Linked DNA regions of Sus scrofa. The protein of the gene in region 1 purifies or fractionates together with the protein of each later gene. This does not show direct contact. Links are inferred from orthologs where the notes say so. Each region holds a gene or a part of one and is shown in the gene's direction. Other genes may lie near its edges.

The links.
Region 2: the proteins of SMC5-SMC6 complex localization factor protein 2 (region 1) and SMC5 purify together in Homo sapiens (affinity purification with mass spectrometry; 3 studies listed by BioGRID and IntAct, with this or other methods). This does not show direct contact. The link is inferred for Sus scrofa from reciprocal best matches to the Homo sapiens genes SLF2 and SMC5.
Region 3: the proteins of SMC5-SMC6 complex localization factor protein 2 (region 1) and SLF1 purify together in Homo sapiens (co-immunoprecipitation; 3 studies listed by BioGRID and IntAct, with this or other methods). This does not show direct contact. The link is inferred for Sus scrofa from reciprocal best matches to the Homo sapiens genes SLF2 and SLF1.

Annotation. Positions count from the first base shown.
Region 1 is NC_010456.5:112,031,282-112,034,781, forward strand, and holds part of SMC5-SMC6 complex localization factor protein 2, read left to right. Parts: intron 1-1,521; coding exon 1,522-1,619; intron 1,620-3,151; coding exon 3,152-3,239; intron 3,240-3,500. UniProt on the Homo sapiens protein: Plays a role in the DNA damage response (DDR) pathway by regulating postreplication repair of UV-damaged DNA and genomic stability maintenance.
Region 2 is NC_010443.5:223,558,976-223,563,070, forward strand, and holds the start of SMC5 (structural maintenance of chromosomes protein 5), read left to right. Parts: upstream 1-1,295; 5' UTR 1,296-1,430; coding exon 1,431-1,627; intron 1,628-4,095. UniProt on the Homo sapiens protein: Core component of the SMC5-SMC6 complex, a complex involved in repair of DNA double-strand breaks by homologous recombination.
Region 3 is NC_010444.4:101,292,615-101,296,847, forward strand, and holds the start of SLF1 (SMC5-SMC6 complex localization factor protein 1), read left to right. Parts: upstream 1-1,433; 5' UTR 1,434-3,691; coding exon 3,692-3,898; intron 3,899-4,233. UniProt on the Homo sapiens protein: Plays a role in the DNA damage response (DDR) pathway by regulating postreplication repair of UV-damaged DNA and genomic stability maintenance.

The DNA of each region.
Region 1 (3,500 bases):
GTTATAAACAGTGTAAATTATAATATCATGTTAAGTTGTAATAAGTGCTACAAATTACAATAAAGCAGGACAAGGCAGGGATGCTCTGCTATTTCATATGAGGCAGTTAGAGCCTTTCTATAGTGACCTTTGAACAGAGACCTAAATGAAATGATAGAGTGAGTCACACATAGAAGAATTTGAGTTGGGCTTCTATAGCCATTGAGGGTAAACATGCATAATTTTTGTTAGTTTTTTTTTGTTTTTTGTTTTGTTTGTTTTTTTCTCTTTTGGCCACCTCACAGCATATGGAGTTCTTGAGAAGGCTAGGAATCAGATATAAGCTACAGTTGCAACCTACACCTCAGTTGCAGCAATGCTGGATCCTTAACCCACTGTGCTGGGCCAGGGGTCAAACATGTATCCCAGCACTGCAGAGATGCCACTGATCCCATTGTGCCTAATTTTTTTTCTTTATATTTTTCAACCTTTTTTGATGGAAAATGTCAAACATGCAAAAGTAAAAGGGTTGGCATTCCCATGGTGGCTCAGTGGAAGCGAATCTGACTAGGAACCATGAGGTTGTGGTTTTGATCCCTGGCCTCCCTCAGTGGGTTGAGGATCCGGTGTTGCCGTGAGCTGTGGTGTAGGTCGCAGATGCAGCTTGGATCTGGCATTGCTATGGCTGTGGCATAGGCCGGCAGCTTTGATTAGACCCCTAGCCTGGGAACCTCCATATGCTGCAGGTGTGGTCCTAAAAAGACAAAAAAAAAAAAAGTAAAAGGGTTTAATGAACTATTCAGTACTTACCACCCAGCTCCAACAATTACCAATTATCTCATCTGTTACCCTTATCTCATACTTCCTTTCCCTGCTCAGGGATTATTTTGAAGAAATTCTGTTAGATTTTAAATACCAGAATGGTTGAGAATTCCTGAAATTCAAGAAATCCAAGATCATGAATATGTATTATCTTATGCAGCTCTTGTTTTATACCTTTGGAACCTATTTAGATTACTTTATTCTTCCAAGGATTGTTTAAATATAGATACAGAGATGATAAAGGAGTTCTCATCATAGCTCAGCAGAAAGGAATCTGACTAGTATCCATGAGGACACAGGTTCCATCCCTGGCCTTCTTCAGTGGGTTAAGGACCTGGCATTGCCGTGAGCTGTGGTCTTGGTCAAAGTTGCGGTTCTGATATGCCATTACTGTGGCTGTGGCGTAGGCAGTGGCTGTAGCTCCGATTCCATCTCTGTCCTGGGAAACTCCATATGCCGCAAGTGCAGCCCTAAAAAGACAGAGAAAGAGAGATGATGTAGCATAAAACATGACAGCCAAATGAAATTCTGATAAAGGTATCTATTCAGTCTGGTACAGAAGTCAAGATAAAACTGAGTCTGTGTACTCCATGCTGTTTCTAAAAATGAGTGCTTTTTTTGTAATAATGCTTCCGTTAGGTCATGAGGAGATGTGGATGATCTGTTAGAGTTTGATTCCACTGACCGGTTTGAAAAATATTGCTTTCTGTTTGTTTTCAGGTGCCTGAACTCTGTTTGGCCATAAATGAACTCTCTAATCATCCCCACAACCTTCTATGGTTGGTACAGCTGGTCCCTAACTGGACATCACGTGGAAGGTATTGAAAAGTGAGAATTAGGAGTTCCCGTCGTGGCGCAGTGGTTAACGAATCCAACTAGGAACCATGAGGTTGCGGGTTCGGTCCCTGCCCTTGCTCAGTGGGTTAAGGATCCGGCGTTGCCGTGAGCTGTGGTGTAGGTTGCAGACGCGGCTCGGATCCCGCGTTGCTGTGGCTCTGACGTAGGCCGGTAGCTACAGCTCCGTTTCAACCCCTAGCCTGGGAACCTCCATATGCCGCAGGAGCGGCCCAAGAAATAGCAACAACAACACAAGACAAAAAAAAAAAAAAAAGAAAGAAAGAAAAGTGAGAATTAGACACTAAGAAAAAAATGTTTATATTAGTGAAATGCGTTTATTTATTTCTTGTCTTTTCAAGGGCCGCACCCAGGGCATATGGAGGTTCCCAGGCTAGGGGTCTGATCGGAGCTACAGCTGCCAGCCTACACCACAGCCACAGCAACGCCAGATCTGAGCCATGTCTGTGACCTACACCATGGCTTATAGCAATGCTGGATCCTTAACCCACTGAGTGAGGCCAGGGATCGAACCCAAAACCCCATGGTTCCTAGCCAGATTCGTTTCTGCTGCACCACAACAGGAACTCCCGTGAAATGCTTTTAGATCCTTTGTTTTCTTTCATCATTCCTTGAGTGTTAGACCAGAGTCTTTTATTTCATATTCAGCTGTGGGAAGAGACATGGACAGGCCTGATTCTGATATGTAACAAAGATCGCTTTCTTCATTTTTAATTTTAGCTTATCTGGTAACTTAATATAGATGGCATATCCCATGAAAATGAATCAATTAGCATTTTTTTCCTTTAATAAAAAGAAATTCCAACAATAAAATAGGTTTTCTAACAGTAAATAACAGAGTAAAAAGTAAAGGCTGTTGGGGAATTCTTGTCGTGATTAGTGGAAACAAATCTGACTAGTATCCATGAAAACACAGGTTCAATCCCTGACCTCACTCAGTGGGTTAAGGATCCAGCATTGCAGTAAGCTGTGGTGTAGGTTGCAGATGTGGCTCAGATTTGGCGTTGCTGTGGCTGTGGTGTAGGCTAACAGCTACAGCTCCAATTCAACTCCTAACCCAGGAACTTCCATATGCCATGGGTTCGGCCCTAAAAAAATAAAATAATAAAGGCTGTTGGGAGTTCTCTTGTGGAACAGCAAGTTAAGGATCCAGCATTGTCACTGAGGCGGCTTAGATCGCTGCTGTGGTGCAGGTTCGATCCCTGGCCTGGGAACTTCCGTGTGCCCTGGGTGCAGTCTAAAAAAAAAAGTAAATGAAAATTGTCAAAAAATAAAGGCTGTTAATGATTTGCTTGAGCTTAAAGCAACTCCAACTTGGTGTGAAAATATTTTACATGAAAGTTTTACTCTTCTAGTAAAAGCTTATATATTCTTATATAGCCTTTTCTTGAAACATTAGCTATGTTTTGAATGAGAACTTCTTTTGTCTCATTCATTTGCTTCTTAAGCAGTGTTGATTAAACACATTCTAAATACTTTAAAATTCTAATTCCAGGCAGCTGAGACAGTGCCTCAGCCTAGTGATTATTTCAAAGCTTTTGGATGAGAAACATGAAGATATCCCTAATGCGAATAATCTGCAGGTATAAATAACATTTTTGTTTTCTTTTAATAAATGGGACAGGAGAGCTCCTGCTGTGGCACAGTGGGTCAGTGATCTAGCTTGTCTCTTTGACTGTGCCAATTCTATCCCCAGCTCAGCACAGTGGGTTAAAGATCTGGTGTAGCTGCAGCATAGGTCACAACTGTAGCTCCTATTTGATCCCTGTCACGGGAACTTCCATATGGCATGAGCACAGCTGAAAAAGGATAGTGGGATGGATGGATGAATTAGTGACATGTAG
Region 2 (4,095 bases), on another chromosome or scaffold:
GTTTCAAAATTCTTCTTTAATTTCTATTTAAAATTTTTTTGTGGAGCTCCTTGGTGGCTCAGCAGCTTAAGGATCCAGAATTGTCACTGCCGTGGTTACAGCTATAGTGCAGGTTACATCCTTGGCCTGGGAACTTCATGCTGCAAGCAAAGTCAAAATTTTATAAATATATATTTTTTTCCTAATAACCATGAAAATTTTACATGTTTTTCCAACTCATTTTTTCGTTGATTATAACTTTGAGAGCGTGGATTTCACTCCTGTGAGAGAAAGAATCAGAAACCTGGAAAAGGAGCATTGGTCCAGGAGTCAGAAATCAGGGTTCTACTGCCAGCCTTCCCTTTGTTAACTCCTTCCATGGTTTACTCCCCCAACCACAGCCTTTGTCTTTGCCCAGAATGCTCTTTTCTTATTTCCACACCTGGCTCTTTCTTCGCCTTCAGGGTTTAGCCCAAATATCACTCCCTCTGACAGGCCTTCCCTGCCTCTCCATCACATTCATTCTGTTTTTCTCTTCTGAGCATCTATCTCCGCCAGAAATTAGGTTAACTTGTTCTTTTTCTATCTCTCCACTCACTCCCTCAAGGCCACAACCCAGCCTCTGGTAGATTAGACATTATCAGTTGAGGAATGACACATAAGTAGGTCGCAGGAAGCTCATCTTAAAAGGGAGGTTAATTAGACAAATGTGAGCCAGTTTAAGTGGAACACCCTCTACACCATGCCAGGGAGCTCCGGGGTTTCCGGAAACTTCGAGGGAGGGAGTCTTAAAAGGGAATTAACGAGGGGATGGACAGTCAATGAGGAGAATCTGTGTGGTGCAGTCTTTCTACCAGTTGGAGAGTGCAGGAGACCATAGCGCCATGCTTTAAGAGAGAGGAAGGCATAGAGCCATTTGGAAGAGTTTCCTTTCTTTTCTTTCTTTTTGGACATGGGAACCTGCTTGAAAACAAAGAAAGAAGACGAAGAGGCCCGAACCGAGGGCAGACTCCGAGCATCACCAATGGGGTCTGACGTTGCCCACACGAGGTGCCATCACAAACACCGTCCTCCTTTCTCTCCCGGATGTTTCCTCAGAGCACTGAAAAGGCTTTCAAAATACTAAATGCAACTGATGTCTTTTTTTGAGTTAAAAAACAAAACCAAAACAAAACTTCTCAAAGTATACAGACATAGAGAAAAGTGACCGGAAGCAGCTTCCCCCAGCTCCACCCCCGCTTTCGCAAGGGTTTCGGCCTTCCAGGCCCAGCACTGGGCGGTGCGTGACCGCTGACGCCAGCGATCTCAACTACGCAGGCGCGAGGGCGGGCTCCCGGCAGGGGGTGGGGGAGTCGCGCGCCAGGGCAGGTCGCGCGGGAGCCGGGCGCTGGAGCGCAGGGGCTGCAGGTCGGTGGGAACGGAAGCCAGCTCAAGAAGGAAAGGAAGCCAGAATGGCGACACCGAGCAAGAAAACGTCTACACCAATCCCCCTGGCCTCCAAGAGAGCTCTCCCCAGAGATCCCTCGTCGGAGGTCCCGAGCAAGAAAAAGAGTTCGGCCCCGCCGGCGGCGCCGCCTCCACTGCCGCTGCAGTCTTCAGGGCCTTTCGTAGAAGGCTCTATCGTCCGCATCGCGATGGAGAACTTCCTGTGAGTGGCCAGAGGCCGGGCTGGGGAGGCGAGCGGGCCCTCGGGCTGGGGGCGCAGGCTGCATGCGTGCAGGGGTAGGTGGGTGGATGTGTGCCTGGCTTGTGGGTTTAACAGTAAATTCGTGCTGAGATTGCCGTCAGGAGTTTTATTCGTCGGCCATGAAGATTGACGTGTGTGTCGATGTGGTAGGAGTGTGTCTTGGGTGATATGTTTTTTTTTAATTCTTAACGCCAATGTTGTTTGAAGACGTCATATGGCGGGCAGTGGACGTAGTAGGGATTCGATCTCTGCCCCCTGGGAGTCACAGCCTGTAGAGGTAGGACGTAATCTGTAATTGGCAAAACTGTGGTTCTTGGGAACTCAGAGGAAGCAACAGTTAAATCAGAACGGCAGTGATGCCGTGACAGATTCGTGAAGAGTAGGCAGTTGCTAGGTGGACAAAGATGGTGAAGGTTTCCTAATGGAGGTTGAAATGTACCTGAAAATTAAGCCTTACTCTCAGTTATTGCGCTCCCAGAAGACCCTTGACCCTTTCAAATCTGGCTTTCTGGTTCCTTTTTTATCCCTTCAGACAACTAACCATAATACTCACTGTAGAATTTTTAAATATGTTTTAACACAAATACCGTGTATCTGTTTAGCACCTTAAAGTTCATTTAAGATTTATTTTTTTTTAAGCTTGCGCAGAGTAACATAGGGAAAACAGAATTGCAGTAACATTACTAACATTATTTTTCAAACATCTGTCATGTGCTATAGAAGTAGGTGCTTTATTTACACAATGCTCTCATTCTTTCCTGGTAACAACTCTTTATATTATTTCCATTGATAAGCTCAGAGGTTAATTTGCCCACGTTTACACAGCTAATAAGTAGCGGAATTGTTGTTTGAATCCAAATCAGGAAAGATAAATATAATCAAACGAAGTATTTGCCTTAATAACATATGTGCATCAGGATGCAAGGGGGGAGCAATGGCTAAAATGGTTAATTTTGTCCACAACTGTGAGAAGGGCTTTGTACTGGAGATTATGACATTCTTAAAAAGGAAGAGCATTGCTGACAGAAGGAATTACCTGAAATGGTTATGATTAAGAAGTTTCCAGTATTTTAATATGGTTAGAGCACAGGATGTGAATATGTGAACAGGGTTTATACTGAAGACAACTCTTGGGGGTCTGTGTTTCCTATGCTGAGGAATTCCAGTTCTATGCTGTAGGTTGCCAGGTTAAGTGCATGCATGACATGTGACATATTACTTCAGCAGCATTGTGAAGGATCATTTAGAAAAGGTGCAAAAGTGAAGGCAACAAGGCTTTTACAATACAAGGGCAGAGATGATTCAGAGTTTGACCCTAACGCTGGAAAGTGGGAGCAGAAAGAAGAGATTTGACAGGGTCCGGCTGCAGATTATTTGTGAGGCATGATAGTAAGGGAGGATGCAGCATTTTTCTTAAGTCTCTGCCTTGGAGAATTGGACATTTATAGTGGTATTCAGTAGAAGGAACAGTTTGGGGAAGATAATAAATGCCTTTTGGAACCTGTGACTTGAAGTTTCCTGTGGGACATCTAAAAGATTTCTGTAGGGAGGGTTTTTGGTTTTTTGCTGTACCCACAGCATGCAAAGTTCCCAGGCCGGGGATCAAACCCATGCCACAACAGCAACCCAAGCCACTCCCATGGCAACACCAGATCCTTAACCCACTGTACCACAAGGGAACTCCTATAGGCAATATTTCTAAGTGTTTGGAGCTTACTGGAAAATGTGAACAGGAGAGAGAATTGGAAATCATGCATATAAGTGGTTGTTGAAATTGCAGAAATGGTTGAAATTGCCCAAAAGGAAATATGATTGGGAATAGAAGACCAAGTACAGAGTCCTGGAGAAATCCCTGTATTTAAGGCCAGGCATATCTCACAGATTGAGAAGGAACTGTTCAGAGAAGTAAGAGGAGAACTGTGGGAGAGTATTATCAAAGAAGCCAAGGAAAAAGATCCAAAAACATCATTTGCTACTTTGAATTCAGATTACAGGAGAGAAAAGAACCCATGCATTTAGCAGTTAGGAAATCTTTGACTCTTTGATGAAGTCGTGTAGGCAGAAAACTAAGTAATAGAAGTGTGAATGAACGTGGGGAAATATAGCTTGAATGTGAAGAGGAGCAAGAAAAGGTAGTTGGAAAGTGCAAAGCTAGGTGAAGTTTTGTTTTATGTTCACAGTGGAGAGGTCTTTGAGGCATAGAAAACCAAAATGGCCAGAGAGAGTAGTCTAGGAAAGGATTTCCCAAGTCAAATGGGATTGAGAGTGGAGAGAGAGAGTGCTAGGCAGAAGGAATAGTGTGCACAAGGCTTAGAAAAAGAAGGAAGCATAAGGGATAGTCGAGAAACTGAAGGAAATTCTTTACGGATTGAATTTAGAGGTCTTATTAGAGCATAGAGGAAGAAGATAGTAGAAAAAGATGAGTTAGA
Region 3 (4,233 bases), on another chromosome or scaffold:
TTTTTTCCCTAGTAGAATTTTAAATTTACCCAAATGGTAATGAACATAACTGCGGCTGCTCTAGGCCTTCAAACACACACACGCAATCTTTCTCTCTCTCTCTCACACACACACATACACGTCTATCTCTGTTCCTAGGGATTTTAATATCTTAGCCATTTGAAGTCTGGGAACATGGCTATGGTTGTCCTGAGAGTTCTTCCACTTCCCAAACGTCTGATTAAATACTGACAAAATCTTAATCTACTTTGAGTACTCCATAGCAGGATTTGACCCAGAAATTAGATGGAGCTTGATTTTGGTAGCACCAACCTCTTTGACGAATGACTGTGCTATATCAAAAAAAAGCGGAAAAAAATTCCTTTTAAGACATTAGGAATGAAAATTTAAACTGAATTTACAGTGTACGTGTGACAGACTCTGCACCTCATGAACTTTTGGGCTTATGTTATTACATTATGCCTCATTTCCTAGAAGTACTTATTGATGTGCAAGATGTTCCCATTTTAAGCAAGTTTGACTAACCTGTATTGCAGGTGTTCCTACATAAGTTAATAGCTTGAGGTGCGCTTTTATAACGAGTTAGTTTGATTATGATTAAGTTAACTCAGTATTCTAAATTTAAATGAATTAAGGTACTTTAATACTTGTGTACGTTTTTATTGTGAAGAAAATTAGCCTTCAGTAACACAAATATGCTCCTGTTAGGTCTGTTTTCTAAATGTAAATTTTTCTTTTGCCTTATTGATTTAAGGGAAATTCAATTATATGATTTAATATTTTTTTGCTTCCCTAAAGCCTGTGAAACAGTCTTCGAAAAGGCGGTCAAGTATGTTATTTTTCATAATCACAATTCAGAATGCTGAAGATTTCATAATAGGTGTCGAAAATTTTCACTCATGTCTGAAAACCTTGCCTTTAAGAAAACCAATAGAATACTTTTATTAACTATGTGGTGTTTCTTTGATTCTTCTGAGATAGTCTTTTCACTATTTAAGCAACACATTTAAAAAAAATCAGTAATTCTATATAGACTGCAAAAAATAAAACCTAAAGAAAGTGAAGAACCTTTCTCAAAAATACAACTAAGATGGATCTTAAGTTACTCTTATAATTGACTCTCCTTAAATATGCTAATAGAAAATAATGTGCTGTAAAATGTGCTATGTACTATTTGTCACCTGAGACATTTTACTGCCTAAAAGTAAAATACCGAAGTTTTTAAATTTTCTTAGTTACTTATCCAAATTATCTTTTTTTTTTTTTTTTTTTGTCTTTTTAGGGCCACACTCATGGCATATGGAAGTTCCCAGGCTAGGGGTTGAATCAGAGCTGTAGCCTCTGGCCTACGCCATAGTCACAGCAATGCCAGATCTGAGCCATGTCAGCGACCTACACCACAGCTCACGGCAACACTGGATCCTTAACCCACTGAGCAAGGCCAGGGATCGAACCCGCAACCTTATGGTTCTTAGATTCATTTCCCCTGTGCCACAAATTATCTTGAAATTAATATTTTTGTTATTTTTGATTAAGAAAGCCCATATGAACTAATATAGTGAATCACTACTCCACTTTGAGGGGAAAATTATGAAAATTTTCTTTTTTGTAAGAAAAAAAAGTCACTCTTTAAATTGTTCCTGGAAATGCCTTGAAATTTTAGACATTGGTGTTATTTTTCTAAAATTCATTTGTAATTACATTTAAATATTTTCATGACCTTGGTATCTAAATGTCTTTCCACCCTCATAGTAGCTTCCTTTTCGTGCGGTGTGTTTTTCTTTCACTAGCTTAAGATAGATTGCTTTGTAAAATTATGTTGAAAGTACTCAACTAAGCTCTGAAATTAAAGTCAAAATGCTTTGTAGAAGAGACATGGAGTTTTTGTAGAAACAGATTTGTATCTTTGACTGTTGTGCCTCTTGGCAAGTCCTTTTCATACGCTTGAACTAGTTTCTTAATCTCTTAGATTCCCCAATAACCTAATCTGTATAAGAAGGGCAAATAACATGTAGGTTCTCAGGGAGATGGACTAATATATATATGAAGTATACAGACCACAGAATCCTTCTTGGTTAACCTTAGACCTTATACTCCTAAGTAACACACAGAGTTCCTGGGATACTAAAGCAGGCTTGGCTTTCATCCGCAGTGACTGATATCTTCTGTCCATTCATTCTTTTTTCCCTGAACATCATTCCTTTTACTCATCTTGCTTCCTTAAGGCCCCTTTATCCCAAAGCAAGTATCTTTCATCCAGCTAGTGCTTCGTAAGCACCGGATAGATAGGACATCTCCCTAAGCCTTCTTAGCCTCTAATTTCTTCCTCACCACAGTCACTTCTACTTCTCCACTTCTGCCCTCAACTGCTAAAATCAATCAGACTGATTATGACTGATTCTTTTCCCGAATGATGCCATTGAAATAATCTGTCTCACCATTAGAGACCTTAGTCAAATAATTGATTTACATATAAACACATGCACACAATGTACACTCATACACATCCCTTATTTTTTGAGGAATAGGACAGGCAGCAGGTACTGTATTTTTTTAAAAAAACTTTTTCCAAAGCTCAGCTGAATTAACTTAAGCTAAAGGCCTAATTTGGCTCATAGACCAAGAGAGGACAACATTCCTAAACTCCATTTGATGTTACAGCATTCAATGGCAAACAGGATTTTACAGTTTTGAGTACTGTGATTTGTGTATTGCTTTTGTAGCATTGGTTAAAATTGAGAACCAGCACTTTAACCTTTTTCAATTTTAGTATCGTTTACTTTACCAGTAAATGCTTTAGATAAATGAAATCATGAAAATCTTTCAACGTCTTAAATTCAAAATAGCAATATTGGTTAAATTCAGGCTTGGTAGGTTCTTTCCAGAAGAGAGAAGTTTTAATGCTGATTTACCTTAGTAGGTGTGAAATCAAAATAGTAGCAGGTTTAAAATCAAAATAGTTCATTTGAATAACAATAAGAAACCACTATTTTTCAACCTATTGGTCTTAAAACCGTGAAATATTCAGTAGCATGGAAAAATGACCATGATATAATTTTACATAAAAATTGTTACTAAATTATATAATCTAAATTGTTTTTTATGTTTTTTACACACACATAAATAAAACCTTCAAGTCACACCCCTCTCACCACTCCCAAATAGTGACAGTGATATTACAGAGTGAAGGAATTAGACATGATTTTAATCTTCCCATATACTTTGTAGTGTTTCTCAAATTTTCTATTATGTGTTAATTAAAGTTAAAAGACCAGTCAGTAAAATTTATTTTCGGGGAAAATTCTTAGTTCTTAAATGCAATTATATAAATTAAGCTTTTTTATAAATCCCTTATTTATCTTAGTAGCATACTTACTAATTTTTAGGATATGTTGTATTCTCACAGTTCCATAATACTCTGTGTCTGGTTATCAGACACTGTAATGCAGAGTATAAAAGTATCCTTATTTTCTTACCCCAGACTGCTTTCAGCATCCCTGCCCTTCTTTTATGCATTACTTCTCTCTTTCACCCAACTGTTACACTCTGCTCTTTCATCCTCCTTCCCAAACAAGACCTTTGTATTTATATCTACATTCTTGCCTCTATTTCTGAGTTCTCTTTTCAGCATATTCTATCTATGTGTCACTTGTAAAAAATTCATAGACCTAAAAAGCTAGTATATAATGAAATGGCCTTAATTGTGATGATGATTGCTATAGGTTTATTTGCATTACTAACTGGCGCCAACCACAGAGGAATTTCAGGCATCAGGGATAGGTCCATGTGGAAGATATTTTGGGAAAGTCCACACCACAGAGACAGTTGCTTGTTCTGCATAAATGCCAGCTCTTTTCCAATCGTTATCTCCTTGGTTGTGTGTATTATATGGTACAAGGTAAGTAACTAGATTTTTTAAAAATCGTTGCAAACTTTTAATATTCCAGAAAGAGCATGTTCTTGTAACTGAGAGTCTCATGTATATTTTTAACTTTTTGCCAGTAAAGATAAAACATTTAACTGTTAAAATAGATGCTTTTTTATTGTTTTCTTTTCCTGTTGTTGTGTTAGGATAGTATCTACTGTGTGAAAGCTTGAAGGACTGACCCCTGTAAGTTCTAGAAAAAAACTCTAATTTCCCAAGAAATACTGCAGGTACAATTATGTAGGGGTTTAGTTACTTTATTTCTTGTGTTAGACTACTAGCAATTAGCCCTTTATCCTCCATGCCTC